Struthio camelus: one gene and its partner. The protein of the gene in region 2 purifies or fractionates together with the protein of the main gene of each other region. This does not show direct contact. Links are inferred from orthologs where the notes say so. Each region holds a gene or a part of one and is shown on either strand. Other genes may lie near its edges.

What was found.
Region 1: the proteins of ATP1A1 (region 2) and HADHB fractionate together in Homo sapiens (co-fractionation; 3 studies listed by BioGRID, with this or other methods). This does not show direct contact. The link is inferred for Struthio camelus from reciprocal best matches to the Homo sapiens genes ATP1A1 and HADHB.

What each region holds. Positions count from the first base shown.
Region 1 is NC_090944.1:1,811,843-1,823,216, reverse strand, and holds the start of HADHB (trifunctional enzyme subunit beta, mitochondrial), read right to left. Parts: upstream 4,672-11,374; 5' UTR 4,410-4,671; intron 4,405-4,409; exon of another isoform or gene 4,170-4,404; intron 2,952-4,169; exon of another isoform or gene 2,850-2,951; intron 2,267-2,849; 5' UTR 2,259-2,266; coding exon 2,192-2,258; intron 1,813-2,191; coding exon 1,771-1,812; intron 254-1,770; coding exon 154-253; intron 1-153. Other genes in the region: HADHA (trifunctional enzyme subunit alpha, mitochondrial), read left to right, coding at 4,681-4,768, 9,294-9,335, 9,425-9,495, 10,217-10,350. UniProt on the Homo sapiens protein: Mitochondrial trifunctional enzyme catalyzes the last three of the four reactions of the mitochondrial beta-oxidation pathway.
Region 2 is NC_090942.1:93,471,800-93,483,731, forward strand, and holds the start of ATP1A1 (sodium/potassium-transporting ATPase subunit alpha-1), read right to left. Parts: upstream 5,491-11,932; 5' UTR 5,191-5,490; coding exon 5,179-5,190; intron 1-5,178. UniProt on the Homo sapiens protein: This is the catalytic component of the active enzyme, which catalyzes the hydrolysis of ATP coupled with the exchange of sodium and potassium ions across the plasma membrane.

The DNA of each region.
Region 1 (11,374 bases), on a different chromosome or scaffold from region 2:
AAAACTGTCAGCAGCCTAACTTTGCCATCTTAGTATTTTTATGTACAAAAGTAACTATATTGAAATCAACATAGCAAACCATATTCCACATTTTCCACCAAAAGATTCTACTATTAACCCAGTCAAAGTATTTTCTTATTATTTTATACTTACGAGGTGCCAGACTGCAAAAATGGAATACGGACACCCTCTACCACAACAATATTCTTCACGCCACTTTTGGCTAATGTCTTCTTACTCTTCGGCTGGACTGCTTAGAGAGAAGTTTAAGTAATTATTGCCAAGAATATGAGCAAGCTTAAAGCCAGATCCTGTTAGAGCTACTAGAAAACTCAGGAAAGAGTCCCCTTTGGTGCATAAGACAAAAGTAGAGTAGGTAGGAGATGCGAGGCAAAATCTTGTCCCTGTCTGGTTGAGCATGCCGTTTGTGAAAAATGGTTTAACAACACAGAATTTCAGCTTCCCTCATCAGCAGAGAGATTCATCCATAGCTATATCGAGGCAATGGCACAGCTCAGAATAAAGGAACATAATCCTCAAACTCCATTACTACTGACAAAAATATCGCAGGAAAAGACACCTCCAAGAATGCTGAATGACTTAGGATATAAATGAGGCGGACCAAATTCAAAGACGAGCAACCAGGGTAAGACCTCAAAGTCTTTCACTCGGGAAGCAACAAGGACTGGAAACAATCCACCTTCCATAGCAATTGCTCACTTATGTGCTCCTATTGCACAGCAAAGGTGAGATAATTCAGAGTAAATAAAAACACAGTGCAAGAAGTCAACTAACTTTCACTTCCATAGGAAAGTACTAGCAAAAAGAGGGCACAAAGCTGTTGTGGGTAGCTTGCTACTCCCTCATAATGCCTGGGAGTATCTCAGGTTTGAGACAAAGCAACGCCATGATACAGCATCATTTAATACACCACTGTCAGTGCTGTTCTAGAGAGATGATTAACAAGGAGCTCAATGAGAATTTCCTAATGCAGTCAGGTTTACAATTCTTAACCAGCAGACACAGCAGCATGAGGCAGCTGCATTTACAAGCCAGAAAAGGAAAAGGCATGTAAAAGCAGATTAAATCCAGCTAAATACTGTGCTCAAGCAAGTGAAAGCACAAGTATGAAACTCCAGCACTAAACTTGAGTCATATAAGAGGGTTCTCCAGATGAAGCTAAGGAGACAAGCGGGGGCTGCTGTCTTTTTGCAATCCAGGCAGCTCAAAGCATCACAGTCACCTGAGTGACCCCAGAACACATCCCAGAACCCCACACTACCCAAACGGCTTAAAAACACACACATCTAACAATCAATGTAATTGTGCACACTAAGCCGCTCTACTGAGACCTGAGCCTCTCATAGGTCTTACTGGACCTTTGAGCTAATTCCACAAGCCTCTCTTAGTCAGGGGCAACCTCCACCCCTCCCGGGCAAGAGACTTGGTTATAACCAGACAGCTTATAACCTCCTAGCTTAGCCTCTCTGTCTAGGATCCTAGAAATAGCAATCTATCAGGTGACAATGTGGCACGAGCTTCAGACCAGGCACAGTTGTTGGGGGTGAGGGAGATTCAGATGTTTAGAGGACTCTTTATTGGAAACACTGTTTTGCCTGTAGCTTTACTTTTTTGCAACTTTAGAAGGGCCCTCTAGAATTAACGAAGTCTGCCTTGTGTTTCTGAGATCTATGTAGAATGAGTATCTGGAAAAGGGAGGCAGCTTCAAAAATAGTCTCTAATAGAAACCCACTGAAGCTTTCACTTTACCTGCTGCCTGTAACTGTGAAGAGCAGCTGAGTGATCTTGCAGCTGAAAAACAAGAACCACAAAAGGAGCATTTATCAAATTATAATTATAAAAACATTTCTATTTATTTTTGTAAGAAACGTTAAAAAAAAAGAAGTTCCAATACAAGTGCACCTGAATATCTGCAAGGTTTTTTTTTTAAGTTACTGTGTTCATAAAAACAACATAGTACATATTACCAGTTAACATGAGATTCCTCCCATATTGGGAGATCTGGGAAACAACAAATACGTCAACAACAGAATTAGTTGTTTAAAAAAAAAAAAAAACCATAACGTAACAGAGATTCAGACAAAAGTGTCCCTGCCAAACGTAATGCTTAAAACAAAGAGAACTTTATGACCTACCAGTTCAAGTCTCTAATGAACATAAAGATACTTACAGACCCTGGCAGCCCATGCTGAGGAAGCAGGGAGGTTTCTGATGATATGGGTCAGCATGGAAGTCATCTTGAGGTCTAGAGAGGTGAAGAAAGACTGCTATTAGTCCAATCTGGCTTATTCAGAACAATTTCAAGGTAAGCATACTGCTTGATTCACACAGAGCCAAAAAAGCAGAGGAAGAGAAGACACATCAAGGGCAGTCAAGTGCAGCAGCACAGGGAATTACATTCTGTTGTACTTTCTGAACAGCATCTAGCACGTGAGAAGTCTGACTTATGACTGCGGCTTGCAAACATTGCTGTAAATAAGCAGTCATCTCGCTGATGACCCAGCACTGTACTATCACTATCAGCAGCGCAGCAGCCAGCACAGTTTTAGATTCCCCTCGCAATACCCGTTCCACCACTTCCCCGCTGGAAAATTGTCCCAGAGCCCAGCCAATCTCCCCGCCAGCATGACTCTCCTAACGCGCGCTCCTTGGCGCAACCTCGTGCCGCTGCCCTGAATTTCAACTGCTGACTCTGAGCTCAGTGACTTTCGTGGCGTATCCCCACGGGAAGCAGAACGAGCTGGCCACCGCCACCCCAAAAGCTTCCCCCAGCGGCTTTCTCCGTGCTCGTTCCGCAGCGGGACCGCAAGGCTTCCCTGCGGACAAACCCCCAGCCGCGCTTCTTCCTGCGGAGGGCCAAACCGGCCCCTGCTGCTCCTGCTCTTCAGCTGCCTCCGGATAAGACGCGCCTCATCCTGCCACGCTTTTAACGCTTAACACCGCCCCCCCCCCCCCGCACTACACACCCACGACTCACACCCCACAGCCCTGGCGCGTGACAAACACCCCTTCACAAACACCACGGGCGCACATGCATGTCCACACACCCACACACACCCCCTCACACCCCCCCACACACACCCTCATACTCCCCATACCTGCCCACACCCCTACACGCATCCCCACACCCCCTACGCACACACCCCACACACCCCCACACCCCCCTACACACCCACCCCTACACGCACCCCCCATATCCCACACACACTCCCCCCACACCTACACCCCCCACACCCCTACACACCCCCCCACATCCCCACACCCCCCACACTCCCCCCCACATCCCCACACCCCCCACACACACTCCCCTCCACACAGACCCCCTACACCCCCCACACACCCCCCACACACTCCCCCCCACACCCCCCCACACACACTCCCCTCATCCCTACACCCCCCTACACACACACCTCCCCACACCCCCCCCACACACTCCCCCCCACACACCCCACACACACCCCCCACACACTCTCCTCCACACACACCCCACATCCCTACACCCCCCCACACCCCCCTCCGCACACACCTCCCCACACCCCCCCCACACACTCCCCTCCACACACACCCCACATCCCTACACCCCCCCACACCCCCCTCCGCACACACCTCCCCACACCCCCCCCACACACTCCCCTCCACACACACCCCACATCCCTACACCCCCCCACACCCCCCTCCGCACACACCTCCCCACACCCCCCCCACACACTCCCCTCCACACACACCCCACATCCCTACACCCCCCCACACCCCCCTCCGCACACACCTCCCCACACCCCCCCACACACTCCCCTCCACACACTCCCCACATCCCTACACCCCCCACACCCCCCTACACACACACCTCCCCACACCCCCCACACACCCCACACACACCCCCCACACACTCTCCTCCACACACACCCCACATCCCTACACCCCCCCACACCCCCCTCCGCACACACCTCCCCACACCCCCCCACACACTCCCCTCCACACACACCCCACATCCCTACACCCCCCCACACCCCCCTACACACACTCCCCCCCACCCCCCCCACACACTCCCCTCCCCACACACCCCACATCCCTACACCCCCCCCACACACTCCCGTACACACACACCTCCCCACACACACTCCCCCCCCCACACACACCCCCACACCGACCTACACGCCGCTGTCTCTCACACACCTCTGGACGCCTCACACCCGCAAACCCCACTTCCGTCCCGCGTCCCCCCCCCGCCCCATGAGGTCCGTCGCCGCCGTCGCCCGCGCACCTCCGGCCCGACCCGGCCCCGCCGCCGCCGCCTGCGCCCTCCTGCCACCACCGCCGCCACCGCGCTGCCACTCTGGAAGGACCCCGCTCCCCCCGCCCCGCGCGGGCTGCCCCGACGCGCGCCTGACCGACACGGCAGCCCTGACAGCCCGGCTGTCCGCCTTCCCGCCGCTCCGCCCGCCCGCTCCCGTTCGGAGGAGGTGAGGGACGGTCGAGGCGCCGCGGGGAGAAGAGTGGAGCGAGGAGGGCGGGAGCGGTTGGCGGCGGAGGGGGAGCGGTTGGCGGCGCGGGCAGGCGCGGGCGGGGCGGGGCCGGGAGGGAGGGAGGGACAGGGAGCGCCGAAGGCCCCCGGCGGCGCCCGCGACGCTTCTCCCTCACTCGACCTCGCGCGCAGCAAAGATGGCGGCCGCGGTGCGCGCTATCGGCAGCCTGGGGCGCTTCATGGCCGCCGCCAAGCACTGCCCGCCCCGCCGCCAGCGGCCCCCGGGTGAGCTGCGGCGACGGCAGCGTGGGGCCCCGCCGCCGGGCCGGGAGCGAGCGAGCGGGCGGTTGGGAGGAGGAGGAGGCGCGGCCTCCCGGGGCGGTGCCCACGCGTGTGCGTGTCACTGAGGGGCGCTGTGGGGGCACGGAAAGCACCTGGCGGTGGGGCCACGCACGGGGGGGGGCACCGGGAAGTGGGGCCTCGCGTGTGTGTGTCCCCGGGGGGGTGCCCACGCGCGTGCGTGTCCCCGGGGTGGGGGGGGTGAGGGACAGGGGTTACTGAGCTCATGTATGTATGTGTCACTGTGAGGGATTAGGTGTCACTGGGAGGTGTCGCTGAGGAAGGGGGGGGTCTTCTTAGGAGGCATCCACGGGTGTTCGTGTTTCTGGGGGGCTCTAGGGAGGGGACAGCCCCCGTATGCCTGTGTCCCTGGGGCGGCTGGTGTCCCAACAGCCGGTACCTGCCCGGGGGGGAGGGCGTCCAGGTGTCCCCCCGCCATCCCCCAGGTGCGCGGGCGTCCTGGGGGACAGCGGTGTGCCTGCACGTGTTGGTGTCCCCACGCGGGACGTGCTCCCACGCGCCTCCCTGGGGCGGCGTCCCCATGTCCTCGCCCGCGGGCACGTTTTAGGCTAGAGGGTCCCTGCAGCCCTGCGAGCTGACCCTACGGGGAGGGGGTGTGCGCTCGCGTCCTGGCACGCTGCGCGTGTCCCCAGTATCCGTGCGTGGCGGGGTGGGGGGGGGGGCGTCCCCATGCCCTTGCGCGCGGGTGTCCTGCGGCTGTCCCCCAGGAGCGGTTTCCCACGCGTGCCCACGGCAAGGGGTGTTCTGCCCCCGCCCGTGCGTGCGTGCCCCCCCGGGGGACAGCTCTGTCCTTGGGGGTCTGTGCGCGTGGCCCTGAGGGGAGGGGGCCCCCGTGTCCCTGCGTGGCGGAGGGAACGCACCGTCCCCATGCGTGCCTGTGTCTGCAGGGGCCTCGCCAGCTGTCTTTGGGCCGCGTCTAGGTCACGTTTAGAAGCGTCCCGGTCATCGACCGCTGCTCCGTTGCCATCTGCTGACTGAGCCCGAGCCCCCTCCTGCTTGGGCGCGATGGCTGCTGGCGGCTGAGTCTTGGTGCTTTGTCCCGGAGGTACCAAAGAAAGGAGTTGCAAGGTGCCCCTGGGGAGGGCCTAAGGTTAAGACTTATTAGAAACAAGCTCTTATTTCTCTGCTTTGAAGGGCCTTAGGGTCTGGTGTCAATGTAGAGCTGAAGTCAGGCAGTGTTTCATTTAAGCCTAATGCCTGTTTTACATGCAGGATTGGAGCAAGTTTATATGTGACTTCATCGCTAGAAGAGCAGAGCACTGCAACTGATAACGAGCAGATCGGTAGTAATTCCAGAGATTGCTTAAACAGCCTCTTGTGGGCTTCTCATTATAACTGGCAATATTCTTCATTACAAATACTTTGTTCCGGGAACGCTGTCAGGACTATCTGTCTATCTATCTGTGGCTAATGTCACGTCATGCGACATAATTAATAGCAGTCTTTCTACGTGTTGTTCTTCCGTAACAACGTATTTGCCAAAACGGATGCGAATCTATCACGGGCAGCCCAAAAAAGAACTGCAAAAGGCAGTAAGTAGGCAGAAGGCCGTGCAAGCTTAAGAGCTAGCCTTACCTGCTCTTCCGTATGTATATGTATATTATGTATATATCATACCATATGCTGACAGGTTCCCAGAGGTGGTAGTAAATAGCTCAGTTTGTTGGAAGTTTCCCGTCTTGCGGCTCGCAGTTCAGTGCTCAGTGCGATCAGCTCGCAGGTACAGCCGTCTTCGTGAGCTTCAGCTCTTCTGTTCTGCTGGCGCTTGCCCAGTCCAGGACTACAAGAAGCCTTTCCTCGTGAACCATCTATGGACGATGTTCCCCCTTCAAGTGATGTGCTGCTTCGGGGGGAATGGAAAGGCAGGAAGGGGAAGTGCAGGACAAGGAAGCAGCCAAGGAAGTGACAGAGGAAAGAGAAAGTGGGACGAAACAGGTCCCAGCCAGATTGTTTGAAAGGGGGCTTTTCCATTCCCTGCTTGCTTCTGAAGCTCTCTGCTAAATCCTGAGAACAATTTTCTGAAGTGTTTGGTGTTCCTTTGTACAGACAGTCTTTCATTTGTCCAAAGAGCAAAGAATGTGAAATAGTGAAAATTGAATATATATTCAGGGCTTTTAGTTCTAGAATGAACATTAATAAAATGGCAGAAATGTACATCTGGCCTGCTGTTATTCCTACAGAATTTGGAAGAGGTTTTTTCTGGCTTCAATCTTGGCAAGTTATCACAGCTCCTTCTGAATGAAATCAAAACCTAAAGCAGTTGTACTGTGACTGCATAAATGTGCTTTTAATTTTAGACGTAGAAATTGTTTTCCAAGAGTATACTGGACCCTAAAATAAAATATTGTCAAGAAAAACACACAGAAAGTTATAATTAAAAAAAAAAAACCTCACTCAAATAATAAGCAACTGTTACTCTAACAGCAGTACGTTTCCCAAAAGAGCTTATATTGAAACGCGGTGAGGTTTGTTCTGTCTTGCCCTTGATGATTTTTTTTTCCTGCTCTGTATCTGTTGTTTTAAAACTGAAAGGTAAAGTGGAATTCAAGGTTTAAAATTTTCTTGGAAAATTTTCCTTCCCCCACCCCACCTTTAGGAGGTGCCTGACTGAGGGTGTGGGAGGAAAGCATTATCACTTGATCTGCAGCTGGGATGTTTGTTTGATCTGATTCTCGTTCCTGCCATGCCTGTCACTATGGAGTAATACAGGGATTAAAGTGAAGACGTTCAGTAGGATTGTTCAGTGCTCACCTGGCTAATGTAGTGGAGTTGGATGGGCAGCCTGCTCTAGGTGACCCTGCTTGAGCAGGGGGTTGGACTGGATGATCTCTGAAGGTCCCTTCCAGCCTCCACCATTCTGTGATTCTGTGGGTGGCTTGCTAATTGTGGTATTTTAACCCAATGAAGTGCATCGGATTCTGCTGAGGTGCGTACGTCAGTGGAGAAACTGTTGGCAGACAATGCTCTGTTTTGTGGAAAATGAGAGCTGGTGCTTCGTTCCAGGAGTACCCGACTTTAGTGCACAGAAAGTCTAAGGAAATTAATGTTGACCTGAGTAATTGCAGTCTGGGCCTTGTTCAGGCCCATAAATATTTTAAAGCCGCTTTGGAGTGGAAACCAGTTCACGCTTTGTTTATAAAATGGTATCGCAAGTACGTGACCCCCTGCTCCCATCAAAGAGAAGTCTGTTGAGACGGACTGACACACAGTTTCCATCCCCAGCCCGTGGCATCCTGCCAGGTGTCCTGGGCTTGGGGAATGGAGCGCAAAGGTCATTCCCCAGTGCCAGCACCTGTGACAAAGTGGAAAGAGGGTCAAAGTGCAAAGGAGCTCTAGCCCCGAGCCCGTGGCCCGGGGCTGTGGGGAGGGAAGCGTGTCTGTTTGCGAGGTGCAGGCCAAGGTTTTAAGGTTGTTTTCGTTCTCCTGGGTTTTCTGCCTTCTTGCTGCTGGGACAGGGATTGTTTCAGCCCCGAGCGTTTTACCAGTGCTGCGTAGTAAATGGCTGTGTTCCAATTGGTAGGTGTACAGTACGTTGCTTAAGAAGTAACACTTTTAGACTTTGAGAATTCAAACAGCTTTGGCAGAGATTCAGCCTAGATCTGCGTTGGGTGATCCTCTCAGTCAAGATCAAGGTCGTTTGAACAGAACTGAGACTCGCTTGCGTAGTGAGAGATCATCAGGCAGAATACAAATTCTTGGCAGGAAAGGGGAATCTGGGATATTTGTGCGAGTAAAGTAGCATTTCACTGTTATACAGATTTTGGTCATCCCTCGTGCTGTTTTTTCAGAGCAAGTTTCAAAACAAGACAAGTTTGTCTAGGTACTTGCGTATGTAATTTGTAGAGATGGATCAACCATTGCCTTGATAGATTGTGGAGGAGAGAATAAACATTGTGTGCTGTTTCTTTGTGGCTTAACAGCTATGTTTCCTGTGATCTGTGCAATAACACTTGGAATGCCAACATTTACAGGCATAGTAGTGCATTTTTGCAGAGATATTCTAGGACATTTCTATTTAGTCTGGGGAGAACTTTATACGCAGGCTTGAAAGTGTCCAAAGGGTGGTAAGGTCTCTCTAATTTAGCATGTGAAGAAGTGTTGAACCGTGCACGCCTAATGTCAAAACCCCTCCGTAGGTCCCCTGCTTAATCTGTTGTCAGCTCTTTAGTAAAAAGGTTTTGATTTTTGCCCTCAGTTTGGCATTCCTGTTATTGGAAAGTCCCGTGTGGGATCTGTCCTGCCAATGTCACTTCAGTAGCATGGAGTCCACTGAATTCTGGTGGTGGCACAGGTCGAGCCATAGCAGAAGGAACTGGCCGGTATTCAGGATTTTCTGAAACACCGGCCTCGGCAGATAAGGGAAGATGGGAGAGTATATTAAGATCTGAGCTGAGATCACCTTAAAAGCTTACCGAGAATGCCTGTAACATCTGCAACATCTCTTCCTTAGGTTATGCTTGCCGTGGTATCTCCACCTCCACTGTTCTTCAGGGTAAGCGTAAAGCTTTTGTATGTGAGTTGATTTTTCTTTCCTAAAATCCACTAAACATAAGCTAATAAAGTGTTTCCGTTTGTTTCCAGCTAGAACCCACGTTAGCTGTGATATCAAAGGAGATGTCGCTGTTGTACGTTTCAGCACACCAGATTCAAAGGTGCGGTTTTGTTGACTGTGATTAATAGGCATATCAGAGGAAAGAGCAGGAATACAGGTAGTACAGAGAAGGCATTGAAAATTGGTAACTGAAGACTAAGAACTTTCCTAACCTGCTGCCAGTCAGATTTGAAAGTGGAAATTTGAGAATGAGAATCGGGGCATATAATAAAAGAACATACTGGGAAGTGCCCCCTGGAAATATTTTATTTGTACCAAATTGACTTGTCTCTCTCACCAGCACAAGGTGTCACTGAACATTAAGTTCTCGATTCAAAGTGGCTGAGGAGAGGGTCCATTCTGTTGAACAAAACAGCTTAGAAGCTCTTAAAACATGTATTGGTGAGGCTGAAGAAGAAACTTCTTAAGAGCAGATTACTTGATAACCTGCTGCAAGGTTTCATCTTGGGGTTTTCTTTCTGGCTGTGTTGTGATACAGGGTGAAATGAACTTTATAGCCAAGCTGGGCTCAATTTGTGTGCCCAGAAACATTAGAATTGTGCCAGAATGCAAATTTTAAAAGGCTATAGAGCTACTGCTTCCACTGCCTTCAGACAGATTGGAAAATCCATTTAGACTTACCATTGGCTTTGGCTTTTTCCTCAGTCTTTCTTCTGTGAGAGTTTTCCGATGATATGATGATTGAGTCCAGCACTTAATCAGAGGTTTAACTCCACTGTCTCGTGGGCTCTCTATTTACAATGTGTATTGGCTACCTTCAGGTGAACACTCTGTCCAAACAATTGAGCTCCGAGATGAGTGATGTATTGAATGAAGTCTGGGCCAATGAAGCTGTCAAAAGTGCCGTCCTCATCTCTTCAAAGCCAGGCTCTTTCATTGCTGGAGCAGATCTTGAGTAAGTTTGGGTGGCAGTAGAAACTATGCTGATGGAGCTTTCTCTAAAGTCCAGCATCTCGGGCAAAAGGTCTGGTGTGCTGTGAAGACTGAGCAGTTTGTCACTGACCTCTCCCCAAGGGTGAGGTAGAGAATGAATATGAAATCCATGTGCGCAGGATGTATAACTTGACAGGGACTTGCTGAAATGAAGTTATGGCCTTGATAAAGAGGAACCTGGCTAGTCATTAAACCCCATTTGCTTCTAGCACTGGGTCGCTCCTTCCTGCGTGCCAGGGTGCAGCCAAGGAAAATTCCCTTTCTGGCTCAGGGGTAAGCCTTGTGCTTTGGTCTGGGGCACAACGAGAGCAGATAATTTACATGCAGAACTTCATTTGAGCTGGATCTTGAGTGTCTGGCAGTCTGCCAGCACAGCTCCTTGATTGGGCAGTCTTGGCTCTCTGCCATATGGAGCATCTGAGCAGCTTCCCAGGCTGGGTAACTCTTGTCGGGTGCGAGTACGCCCTGTATGAGTGCTCTCACCTGGGCCTGGAGTGCCGTCAATTGCCAGTCCTGCATTGGGCACGACAGAACAGTTGTTTAAAGACATTAAAATCCGGAAGCTTTGAGCAGAGAAGGTAAATGCATATCAGCCCTTCCAGAGCTTGTTACCTTTTTGTCCAGCCTTATTCAGGAGCAGAGACTTGATCTATCCTGTGGTGGGAAGGAGGCAGTAGCTTTAGCTGGTAAGCAGGACAAAAGGACAGGCTGTGTTTAAGAGGTCTCGGCTGGTCTCAGTGCAGCAAGCCTGCTGATTAGTGCCTGCCTGGCAAACGCTGCTAGCCTCTGTGAGAATAATTGGCTCGGAAAGTCTCTAATTGGCGGAGTGCAATGTCAGAGCACTGGCCATCTGCTTCTCTCAAATGTGATCCTGGGCTCTCCCTTCCACCCTTCCTGGCAAGTGCTTTGAGGCTTCCTGTGACCCTTCCTTCTCTCCCCAAAAGGCTTTCAGAGCTCTGGCACAAGGAGACTCATTCACTGCCTGC
Region 2 (11,932 bases):
AAATGAAAAGTGGTTTCCAATGAAGGTGACTAAGGTGGTGCTTTGATTAGCATTCTATCATCTTCAGTTTCACTCACTTCCTTAAAAAAAGCTTGGCAAGCTTTTGCAGGTGGTCTAACACCCCTGGTTCTTAGAAGCCTCTCTGAGAACTACTGTTACTTAACACATATGGAGGGGAAGGAAGAGAACAACCCAAGAATATAAGAGTCTCTAGCTCTTGTAGCTAGAAAGGCAACCTACAAATGGGCAAACATGAAAAACCACCTCTGTTCAAGCATGGTTTGCAAAAAGAAATAGGAAAGCCACCAGCTGCAATCAGGGGGAAAAAAAAGCAGTGAAGTAACTTGTTACTTTAAGCACCTGAGTATTTTACATCACACTAAGGAGCTCAGAGTACCTCTGTTTAAAAAAAAAAAAAAAAAAAGTACAATTTACTCCTTTGTTGCCTGCTACCACATCCTAACATTACAGAAAAGGTAAGTCAGTAGCATCAGCTTCAGTGCTTGCTAAAGTTATTTCACTCAGAATCTGAGCTTCCTGTCCTATCATTCAAATCTGAATTTGACACACACGCCTCATGTCATCTTCTGGCAAGCTGATCTCAATCTATTCAAAGGCCTATGCTGCCTGCGCTGCAAGGAGATGAGGGGTTCATCCCGCCCCCTTGTCACTGTACAGCTTCCCTGCTCTCCCCTCCGTTTCCCACCTAAAAGGGAGAAAACATACAGCACTCCTGACCTACATCATATCAAGAATTAACCACATGGCCTGAACACAAAGGAACATCTGTAGCATCAGAAATGCCCCCCCTCCCCCCGCTGCTTCACTTAGCTAAGGAACTCTGACTCATCAAAACCTCGACAGGAAAAGCCAGAGAACACAACCTTTTTTCACACAAGCTTTTTCCATTGGCCAAAGCAGAACGTTTGTACACAGGGACGCAAGAAGTTTTATGCATTGCCTCCCCTGCTCCCCAAAGCCCTATTGTCTTTAAGATACAACTTATGCTCTTCCGCTCTGTGCTAATTGAGCCATTTATGCCTGATACTTTAGACATGAACCATCATTAGCAAGGAAATGGGAGGGGTGCAAATCAGCAGTCAATTTCAGCAGTACCCTGTTCTAATATCACCTACCCCAACAAGCAACGTCAAGTAAAAGCCAAGATAAGTTAAGTAGTCTCCAGAGGCCCAGTCTGTTCCAACATTTATGTCGTCATCAACCGGGCAGAACAAACAGAAAAATTATTGTCCTGCTGTCTCATGAGACAAACTTCAGTAAATATATTAACCAGATGAGTCATGCCAGTGACTATTCCTATTGGATTGGAGACACTGCTCTGAGACCGTACGTAGTTTTAGCAAGGGACATAAATACCCTCTCAGGAGCTTTCTCACTCCCTTTCACAAGCTCTGCTCAACCTTCTATCTGTAATCAAAAGTAACTGGCTGCATCAGTTGAACAGATCCTCAGCAACTAGGACAGTACCATTTAACTTTTACTAAGCAGCCACAGTTACTGATTGTGAACACTTCTTACTGGGATTCAGCAAGCAGACTGCTGCTTCATAGGCTCAAATTCCTGCAGGCCTTCCTCTCTGCACATGAAAAGGGATCTAAAATTTGCAAGGCTTCTCATCATCAAGGTTGAAACGCAACCATCCACATATTGTAAGCTTTCTCTCAGTAACAGAACCAGTGTCTCCCCTGCTTCTTGTGGAGCTGCTTGAAGACCCAGGAGCAGAACTGGCTTTCCAAACTCTAGTGTTGTGTGACCAAGCAGCCCTTCCTGGTTTTTTTCCCTGGTGCTGTGCCAACTAAGAAGTGTCATCTCCTGCAATTCTGCGTCTGGAATATTGGCATGTCTGTACTGTCAACCTAGACATCTCTAGTAGCTGTCAAACACATGAAGGAACAACAGATTGGACACAGCTCTTCCCTAGAACAACTGGTAACTTCAACTGTCCGTTGATAGCCTGGGTTTCTGAAGTGTACTATTTTGCTGCTTTTGGCATGTCAGGATACCCCCAGGTTGTGGGACTGAAAACCACAGGTACAGAGCACTCGTCAAAGACCCTCCTATTCCATTACACTGCTTTGAGAAAATACATTGGCTAGGCCAGGGGTTTTCTTTGGCAAAAGGCATATCCTGTCGCTTGCCCTTGCTAATAAAAGTGAGGACAAGGGATTTTGGGGGTGGTGGTGGTGAACATATTAAAAAGTCTTAAGATAAGGAATGCTTTGATTTGCATAATTTCCCCTCAGTTGATCCACTAAGGAATAAGGCCTCCTAGCTTCTGACAGCAGAAAAGCTTAACTGGGGTCCAGGCATTAATATTGTTCTCTAGAAACAACTCAAACATACACTAACGATTGTACTCTACACACATGTAGCAAGGCAAATATAATGAAACATGCTGCTGTCTACAGACAGCTTCCAGGCAAACACAGAGCACAAATGAAATCCTGTCTGCTTTTCTCCAGTTCACACAGCCTTTGATAGATCTGCTATTTGGGCTGAAAGACATACCCAGGCAGCTCAGGCCCCTCCCCTCGCCCTATTACCATTTAAAGTAAAACAGATGCTCTAGTCAGCTTCTCTTCAGAGCCATAGATGCAAGCACTTAAGAGAGGTCTGTCTGTGTCACACACACTTACTGTCTCTTCAATGCTAGGCTTCCATGGGAAAGAAGAAAGGTTTCCTTTCTGGGCACCCTAAGTCAGGACAGGTGCTTGCTGTTCAGTTTTGCAATCATATGCAGTCTTTTCCAACTTCTTGCTCTTTCACATCCACCTTTTTCAGGGTATCCCTATTACAGCATGCTTTCTCACTGCCAAATGAGCCAATCTTGCGACTTTCTAGCAGAAAGCCTGAGGCAGCCACACATTGCTGTATTACCCCTCATGTTGGAGGTTCAGTTTCAGGCCAAATTGCTTATTATACACATAAGCTACTTAATTTCTAATGAAAGAAAGATCTAGCTCCCACCGGTCAAGTCAAGACAGCCTAAACTCCCCCATGAAGCCTTCTGCATCCTAGTCAGGAAAGCTTTCTAAGGCTTCTTTGATGAACTAGAGCAGCCAGAGGACTTATCAACCTCCCCCCCCATATTTATCTCTTAGATGATCTCGTACAGTGCCTGTTCCTTCCAAGTTACTGCTATCAGTTAAACCACCCAGTAGCCTGAAATACATTACACTGGGATACTGAGCTTGATGTATGGTGGTGGCGTGTGGTGGTGGGGAACGCTCCTCAGTCCCCTTTCACAAATAACTGCCCTTTCAGCTGCATTCACAGTTCTGCTACTCACGTCAATGTTGCCACTGCTATACAGCACTGCCTGACACTGTGCTGTCCTGATCGATATTTGAACAGCACTTCAGAAATGCAGAACAACTGTAAGCAGCAAGCACCATCAAGCAATCTTGGTTTGGACTGGGGAACAATCGTGGTATCCCTGTGTCTCTAGGAACCTTGCAGTTATGCTGTCTTCATGGAAGCAGAGAAATTATGAGTTTTGCCAGGAAAGAGTCTGGAGCAGGAAGAAAATCTATTCCCCGTCAATTGTGCAACATCTAGGAGCAAGTATTTGGAGGGGAAGAGACCCTAAACCCCTTACAAATAAAAACTAAAAACCCACACAGAGAAACTGCTGTTTCGTCCAAACAAAATCAGAGCAACCCAAGAGGTGTTTCTGCTCCCCACACTGCAAAGTTTGCTACTGTGATCAAAAGCCAGAGTATTGACTTCTGCTTCCAAGAGCCTTCAAATACTTATTTTTAATTCAAAAAATACAATCTGAATTAAGGAGTTCATTTCATTGTGGGTTATAATATAGAAAGCTAAAAGGAAACAAAGTGCCGAAACAACTCCTCACTCAAGTATCTAGAAACTGCTGCACAGCAGCCTGGGAGACTTTATCACACCAATTAACCGGAGGGACACGATAAAGTCTTGAATGATCATCTTCCCCAGTCCATCAAGTCTTATCACATTCTCACTGGTACTAATAAGCAAATGAGCACTAATAAGCAGGGCCTTTTAGCCTGTCACCTCCCCCTGGCGCCTCATGCCTCCAGAAGTCTAAAGTACTCTTATAACGGCCAAAAAGATATTAGAGCAGCCACGCTTTCAAGCCGAGCTCCAAAAGGGCAGCCCACTAACATCACTACCAGAGCACATTTCTGTTCCCATGCTGACAAGAAAACTGACAGGCTAACCTTCAGCTTGGAGCATGCTTTCACCAACAGCACGCGCAAAGAAAAGGAGGGCTTATCACCCCAAAACTGTAGGCGAGAGGTTTCCTACAGGATAAGCTCCGGCAAACTTCTGCCTCATGCCAGGAGGAGGCATCGCTCAGCTTTCAAGAACAGCACCCAACTCCCACCCTCTGCTCGGCCCACGCAGAAAGAAACCACGCAGGGGGTGAACGCAAGGCGAACGCGACAAGCCTGGGCCGATGAGATTTGGGAGACTTATTCCTAAGAGCTCAGCCTTAAAAAACGAAACCTATTTATAGGCGCCTATTTATAATATACCCTAACCGCTAGCTTCAACTTTTAAATAAGTATTTCCTCCACCCTTTCCTCCCCACCCCCGGCTTTCCCCGGGGCAGAAACGCCAAGTGCTGCCCGGCACCGCGAACCACGTCTTAGCCCTCCCCCACGGCCTCCCAGGCGGGCGGGGCCCGCCGTCTGCCGGGGCCTTCGTGCCGCCTCCTCTCCCCCCCCCCCCCCCCCCAATCTCCGTTACTTCCTCTCACGGAGCACGCGGCCCGCCCCTGGGGCGCTCGGCACCACCCTCCAACGGCCGCGGCAGCCGTTGGCGCCCGCTAGAGCGCCGGCCGCTCCCCCGCCGCTGCCGCCACCACCGGCGTCAGCGGCACCAAGCCGGCTCCCCGCCCGCCTCCCAACCCGGCACGGACCCGGCCGGCGGGGCATGGAGGGGGGAGGGAGGGTAGCCGCAGCCAGGCGGCCGCCCGCTCTGCCCCGGCCGAGCCCGCCCGCGGACCCCGGCGGCGGCGGCTCCTTGAACGTCCCACTCCCGGCCGCACAGCCCACGCCCCGGGCACGCGCCGCGCCGCGCCCCGCTCCGCCCCGCCGCGGCTCGCGCCGCGCCCCAGGGGCGCCAGCCCGCCGCCGCTCCGCGCCCCTGCTCCCGGCGGCCGCCCCTGCTCACCCCTTTGCCCATGGTGCCGGGCGGCTGCGTGCGGGGCCCGCGGGTGCTACTAGCGAGGTGCGGGGGCTCAGCGGCGCCACGTGTCCCGGCCGGCGGCAGGTGCGGAACAATAGCGGCAGCGCTCCGCCCGCCCGCCGCTCCGTCGTCCTCCTCCCGCCGCCGCTGCTGCTGCTGCTGCTACCGCCTCGCCTTCCTCTCCCCCCGCCCCCCGTGCCCCCGCCGGCGATAGCTCCTCGCCCCTGCTGCAGCCACCCGCAGCTCCGAGCGCGGCCGGCTTCCCGCCGCATAAAGAGCCCTCTCCGCACCGCCCCGTCGCGTCGCGCCGCGCCCCGCCCCTCGCGGGCGCCCAGCCAGGAGAAAGGAGGAGGAGGAGGAGGAAGGGGGAGCGGGATCGCTGCCAGCGGGCCCGGCCCCTCCCGCCGGCCGCGGCTGCCCCTTGGGGCTCACCTTGGCTGCCCCGGCCGCCGCTCCCGGGGGGCCCCCGGCAGCCGGGGGCGCGGCGGGCAGAGGGGCGCGCAAGAAAGCGAAAGCGGTGCGGCGGGTGGGGAGGAGGGAGGGGGCGGCCGGCGGGGGGCGCTGCGGCCCGGCCGCCGCCGCCCCGCGCGGGGCCTCTCGCGGGGCCGCCGCCGGCGCCATGTCGGGTTGGGTCGGGCTGCGCCGGGCCGGGCCGGGCCGGGCTGGGGAGGGGTGGCTGTGTTCCTGCCAGCTGCCCCGGCTTTCCCGTGAAATCTGAAGAGATTGACGTAATTTATCGCTAATGGCCGTTATTCACCGTCAGTGGCAACTGCGTGGTGACAGGAGCCTCCAAGGTCACGATAGGAACCAGCCGTCCTGTATCCTTTACGTTAAGTAAACATTGAATCGCTCCCCGGCGCTTGAGAGCCGCAGGTTGAAAGAGCCTTGCGTTAGAAGTCCAACCGCTCTCCGCTGATATCCCGACAGGACATCAAAAAGCACCACAGGGAAGATAAGCCAGAGAGTTTCCCCTGAAAAACGCAACCCTAGAGGCATGGGGGCTTGATTTGTCCTGCTTGAGTGGGAGCACGCCGAGGGGAGCCGTGGGCTTCCCCACGCCACCGCTCTTCCCCTCTCTGGTTTCCGTGGGGCCGCGCGGAGGGCTGCGTGCCTCACAGCTGCTTGCCATCGCTGGCCTGCAACCGGGCTGGACCCAGAGGAGCGGGACGTGTTCGGTTCCAGCCCCCGCAGCTTGTCGTGGAGCATGCGAATTTTAGCAAAGCATGTTCTGGTTTGGATATCTGGGGTGACGTTTTTTGCCGCGAGGCTGGCGCCGCGCTGAGGCACCGTGCCCAGAGAGGCTGGTGTGTGCAGGTGTGTCCTTGCAGGTGTCACAGTCTGCCTGGACCAGGTTCTGGGCAACCCCGTCTAACTTTGAAGCCAGCCCTGCTCTGAGGATTCAAGACCTCAGGAAGGCCCTTTCCAACCAAGTCATTCTCTGCTTCTCTGCTATCACATTGGGTGCTTGGTAGGCTTGGGTTACGTGTTGCCTGAAATGCTTCAGACTTGCTAAGCTGAGGTTAAAGCTCATCCTGTATGCCAGTAGATGTGAATAAACTTGACAAAAATAGCTCTAAAGGCTTTAAAGTTCAGTAATTACTACAAATTGTGATCAGGACTCAGCAAAGAGTTACGGGAGAGATTTCTGTGCCCTGTATTGCTCAGGAAGCATGACTAGGTGATCCTCATGGTTCCTTTTATACATAAAAATCTGAGAAAAGTTGATGGATGCCAAAGTTGCTACTCTGTGCCTGTGATCAGTTTGCTTTTTAATTCTGTCTTCATACACAAAGAAAACAAGCATCTGCTCTTTTTTTTTTCATGACAGCTTAACAGAGCCTACAGGACCTGGTATGAGCTGTGAAATACCCAGGGGACCCCACCGCGGAGGTGTTTCAGTAGCCTCTTCCCCATGGGAGGGTTTCCCTGCCGATGGCCCCAAACACACTGGATTAGCTGTTGGGGTGCTGAGAACATTTTTGGAGAGAAGAGCTTACATTCAAGTAGTTAAGCACCATGCTAGTAAGCAGGGGCTAAAACCCCCCTCAGCAGAAGACAACTTCAGCCTTTCAGGTCCTGGGTGAGAGCTTTGTGATCAACCTGTTTGCTAACAGACCCTTGTATGCAAGGGGTAGGGATGCCACTACAACCATCTCCTTGCTGGTTGTGTCTCAAAAGAAGATGGGAGGCTCCACAGCATTTGTGAAGCTTGGTCCTTCACTCTGCATTAGACCTGCTTTGACATTTCACACCTGAGTCCATGCAGACAAATGTACACTATGTTTTGGGATTCCAGCTGGGCTTACGAGTGGCTTTGCCTGCTCGGTACTGAGGCACTTCTGAGACTGAACGCAGTGAACTTCAAAGTAGAAACTTTAGAGTGGTGAGCTCAGATGCAATTTTAGAGGGCAAGGAAGCAGGTTTTTTTCGAGTCCCGTTTTTAGCGTTCTGCCTAAGATCCGTTTTGTGCTGCTGGTGGTCTTTATTGGACCTGGCACTGTTTTGACAGACTTGGAGACAGAAGCTTTCCATTTACCTAGAAAACACATGGCGCCTGGGCAGCAGTCTCCCTCCCAAGCTGCACCATCTTGACCCCAAGGCAGAGCTCTCATTTAGCTCTCATTACTCATCTTTGAGGCTTTCTTTTAAGACTTCCCATAAAGGGCTAGATCTTGCCAGCTGCAGGGAGAGGTATTAGGAACCGGTTGGGAATTTCTGAACTGAAATCACCTACTCATTTCATTTTCACTCCTTACCAAACTTCAGTTTCTTTCAATGTAGCTGTGAGGCATCTTCCGTATGACATTTTAAAAAACCCCTCCAAACAACTTCCAATACATTTTGCCCCTTGAAGTGAAACAGCTTATGGCCTGAACAGTATAGCTGAGTTGGAGCAGTGTAAATTTGATCCATCATTTGCTTTGGGATACTCGACGCGTTGCCATTTCTTCATCATGTGAAACCGTCATGTGCAACGGTGGTGTTGTAAACTTACACCTACGACTTCTTTCAGGAGAAAAGCGTATCCCAGTTCTCTTACTGGCGGTGATTTAAAGTAAGAGCAAATCCCTAGGGGCCAAAGGAAAATTCATTGTGTAAAACCAGGCATAGAGGGTAAAGTACTTGTATTCTCCTCCTGAAACAGGTGTAAGAGGGATTAGCTTAAGAAAAAATAGGAAAGCTCTGGTTTCAGTATCTACAAGCAATTACAAACTCTTTTTGATAACGCTGGCAGGGTGGCTGAGAGAAGTAGGGATAACACTCAGGGAACTTCACTCCTGCCACTGGATTAAATCCAGCCGGGTTTTAACACCTGAACATTCTTGCTTGTGTGTCCTGCTCAATTCAGGCTGGGAGTAATTGTGAATCTTTTTTGAAGATTTGATGCAATATGCTTTTTTTCCTTCTGACTGTTCGTTGTTTTTGGCGCAGTTGTGGGCTGCTCAAATTCCAGGGGTAGGTAGTGCTAGATGCAATGAATGGAGATAGGCATTATGAAAACAGTGCAAGGCATTATGTGAATGCCTACTGCTGTTATTAATAGCATGTACATCATACAGTCCTTCTGTAGCATTTTTTACTTTGGGAACCTGAGAGTGTTTTACACCAGGGAGTTTTATTATGCCCATATTAAGGATGGGAAAGCAGAGTCACAGTGAGAAGGTGGTAGGCGTGTAGAATAGCTTCAGCAGATTCTAGGTAAAGAGTCCAAGGATCAGAAAGCCCTTTGCTCTTGCTGCTGGATATAGCAGCTTCCACTCAGGCTTATTCCTGCTTTCGCTAACAAGCGGCATGTAGCTGAACACAGAAAAGCAAATCTTCTTTGCCCCTTTGCAGCTGCCACAGCCTAGGGCTGCATTTGCTGGGAAAGCTAGGACGTTAGATCCCCGTAATGGATTCTACCTAGAATAGGAAAGAATCCCATCTCCCGCCTAGTATTGCTTTCTATGGCATCCCCTGTCTCCACCAGCATTTTGCATGTATTGTAGCGAGCGCCACACTTTGGCCTTCACCTTGAAAAGCTTCTTCTTTAGTGGCAATTAGGTTTGTGGACATTGGAGCATTTTCCCTCTGGACAATGCAGTGCCATTCACTTCAGAGGTGACATGCTCCTGCAGCTCCTACTTCCTCAGCAAAACAAGGGAATGCAGCTGGACCCAAATAAGCTGTTTTTCCTCAGCCACTTGTCCCTTATCTCTAGAGTCTCTAGAGGATGAAGTTACCTACAGCGCACTAAAGCAGGCAACAAAAGCAGCCGCCGTGCGGATAAGGTGAGATGAGTTCCACCATGAGGCCTCTATATAAATGAGGTTTAAAAAGGCATCCAAAAGGGATTCAGGCTTTTTAAAGGGTAATTCACTTACCAGGGGACACAGAGAACACAAGGTGATTGTATGTAACTGTATTTCTATCGACCTTCCAGCTGTAATTACAGGTCTCACACTCCCTGCTGGCTTGTCTCCTGGCTTTAATGAGATCACCTTAGGAGATAAGGCTAGGATACCATTAAAATGACCGGGGAGAGCAATATCTAACTATGGGGTGAACAAAGATCAAGATCCACTACATCTAGTCAGGCTTGGCTGAGTTTCTTCATGTACTTTTTCCCTCCCTCTGGCTGATGGATACAAACATTTTGCGTTGTTGACAATATTTCACATTTTTCTGAAGCCTTTCAAGTAAATCCTTCAAATACTGTTGCAAAAACATTACAATGGATCCTTAATGGCCCTTTGAAAATTAAGTCTCTGTCCTTTGCCATTGCACATAAATGGTATAACCTTCATTCAAAGTCACGGCATTGTGGGTTGCAGAGGCGAAGAGCAAAAATATCAAGCATTCCAGTCATTTTGAGTGCTTTAGTGTTGTGCTTATACAAAATTCCTAGGCACTTGCTGCTTCTGTAGGTGGGAACTTCAATTGCTCAGCCTTTCTCAATAGTAAGTTCAAAGTGTCTCAGCCTGAGAACTTCAAAACTGTTTTTTTCTTGTTTTACTGAAGAGGAATCAGAGGTTTACTACAGTCATGCAGCAAAGTAGATCAAAGGATGAAATTGAGAAGAGCTTGGTCCCTGCTCTAACTGCTAGACTAAGGGTTTAAAACTGCTGGGTCACAAATTCCCGAAGACTACTTGTAGGGGGGACCCTGTGAAAACAAGGAAAGCGAAGCCATTGACAAAAGATTAAAATATGCTATTCAAGGATTTGCATTTCTTCGGAAAAAAAAAATGTTTAGAAATCCACAAATCAAAATAATAAAGGCTTAAAACTATTACTTTAGACAAAGCTGTAACAGGTATTTATGATGTGACACTTTTTATATTTTAAGCCCATAATATATCATTCCATTTTTAGTTGCAGACACTGTTTTTAATTCCTCTTTGCCAGTTAGTTATCTAGAAGATAAAGCAGCTTTGAAATCCCCAGACTCCCTGGAACCACAGTTTATATCTCTCCAGGGTTTTGTGCGCTTCATCATTCCAAAACAGATAAACCAAGTACCATGTAGCTTACTTCTTCTCTATGAATCTTTTGAGAATTAGTGGCCCGATGGGAATGTTTACAAGAGCATAGGATTAAGGCAAAAATGTCTTCATGTACCCTTTTTCCCCCCGCCTTTTGCACCTATCTATATTCCATGGTTGGGAGGTGAATGCATCTAAGTGCATATACAAGCTGGTTAAGAATGTAGGGTTTTTTATAAAACATACTTCCAGTTGTTTTTTGACTAGCTGAGATGGCAAGTGGGTGTATTAGAGATAAGTAGAAGGGAGATGAAATTACCTACTTCTTGCTCTAGGCTGAATGGGGAGAGAGAAAAACGTGTATATTGCTTTTATGAGAAAAAGGTAAGCTATGTTTGGCTCCTACTATGCTACAGATACGTTTTCAAGCATATACAAAATATTGCTAAAAACTTACCTTAACAAAATTGCGTTAGAAAAATATGATTCCTTCAAAGAGGAACACCCCAAAATGAGGATGTGCCAAAGTCCAGCCTCCGCTCTTTCCATCTGTCTGTGTGCACTATGATGCCGTCTTCGGTTATAGTGCACTGCTTCGTTCCGCATGCAGGCGAAACGCTGCTTGATGAATGAGAGGGAGCAAGCTTTCATATTCAGAGGTTTATCTTTATTGTTCTACTCCTTGCCTTATTCATTTTACCTAGTCCGTTTTGTCCCCCAAGGGCAGAAAGCTATTTCCTGTTCATACCTACCTCTGCACTTTATGTTCCCAGTTTACATGAATTGTAAGTCAAATCTGACCAAAATGCAGTGCATGGTCTCAAGTTCTGTGAAATCCTGGACCATTGGCTGAACATGACAGAGCCAGTGCAATCCCTAAGACTGCAGGAATGATTGAATGGAGTCACGTAAAGCGTGAACACCGGCCAGATTCTCTGCTGGTGGGAAGGGAGAGATGACACTAATTCAAAGGCAGCTCACTCATTACTACCTCAGAAATTGTAGTTCTACATTTCAGGATTCAGACAGTTTGTAACAGTCTTCGCTTTGGCACTTCCATGCCGTCTTAATGCTTCATTTTACAAGATTAATGTGTTCTGAGTTTGAGAGCACTTTTAACAGAGCTGTCTAAGCTGTTAACAGAAAGGAAAGCAGGCTCATAGACATCCTCGCTGATTGTAACCTGTCTGAGGCTGCACCTTAGATACGTTTAGACACTGAGGTCAGTACAGAGATCAACGCCTTGCCTGTTGACTGGGTGCAAAGTAAGGATGA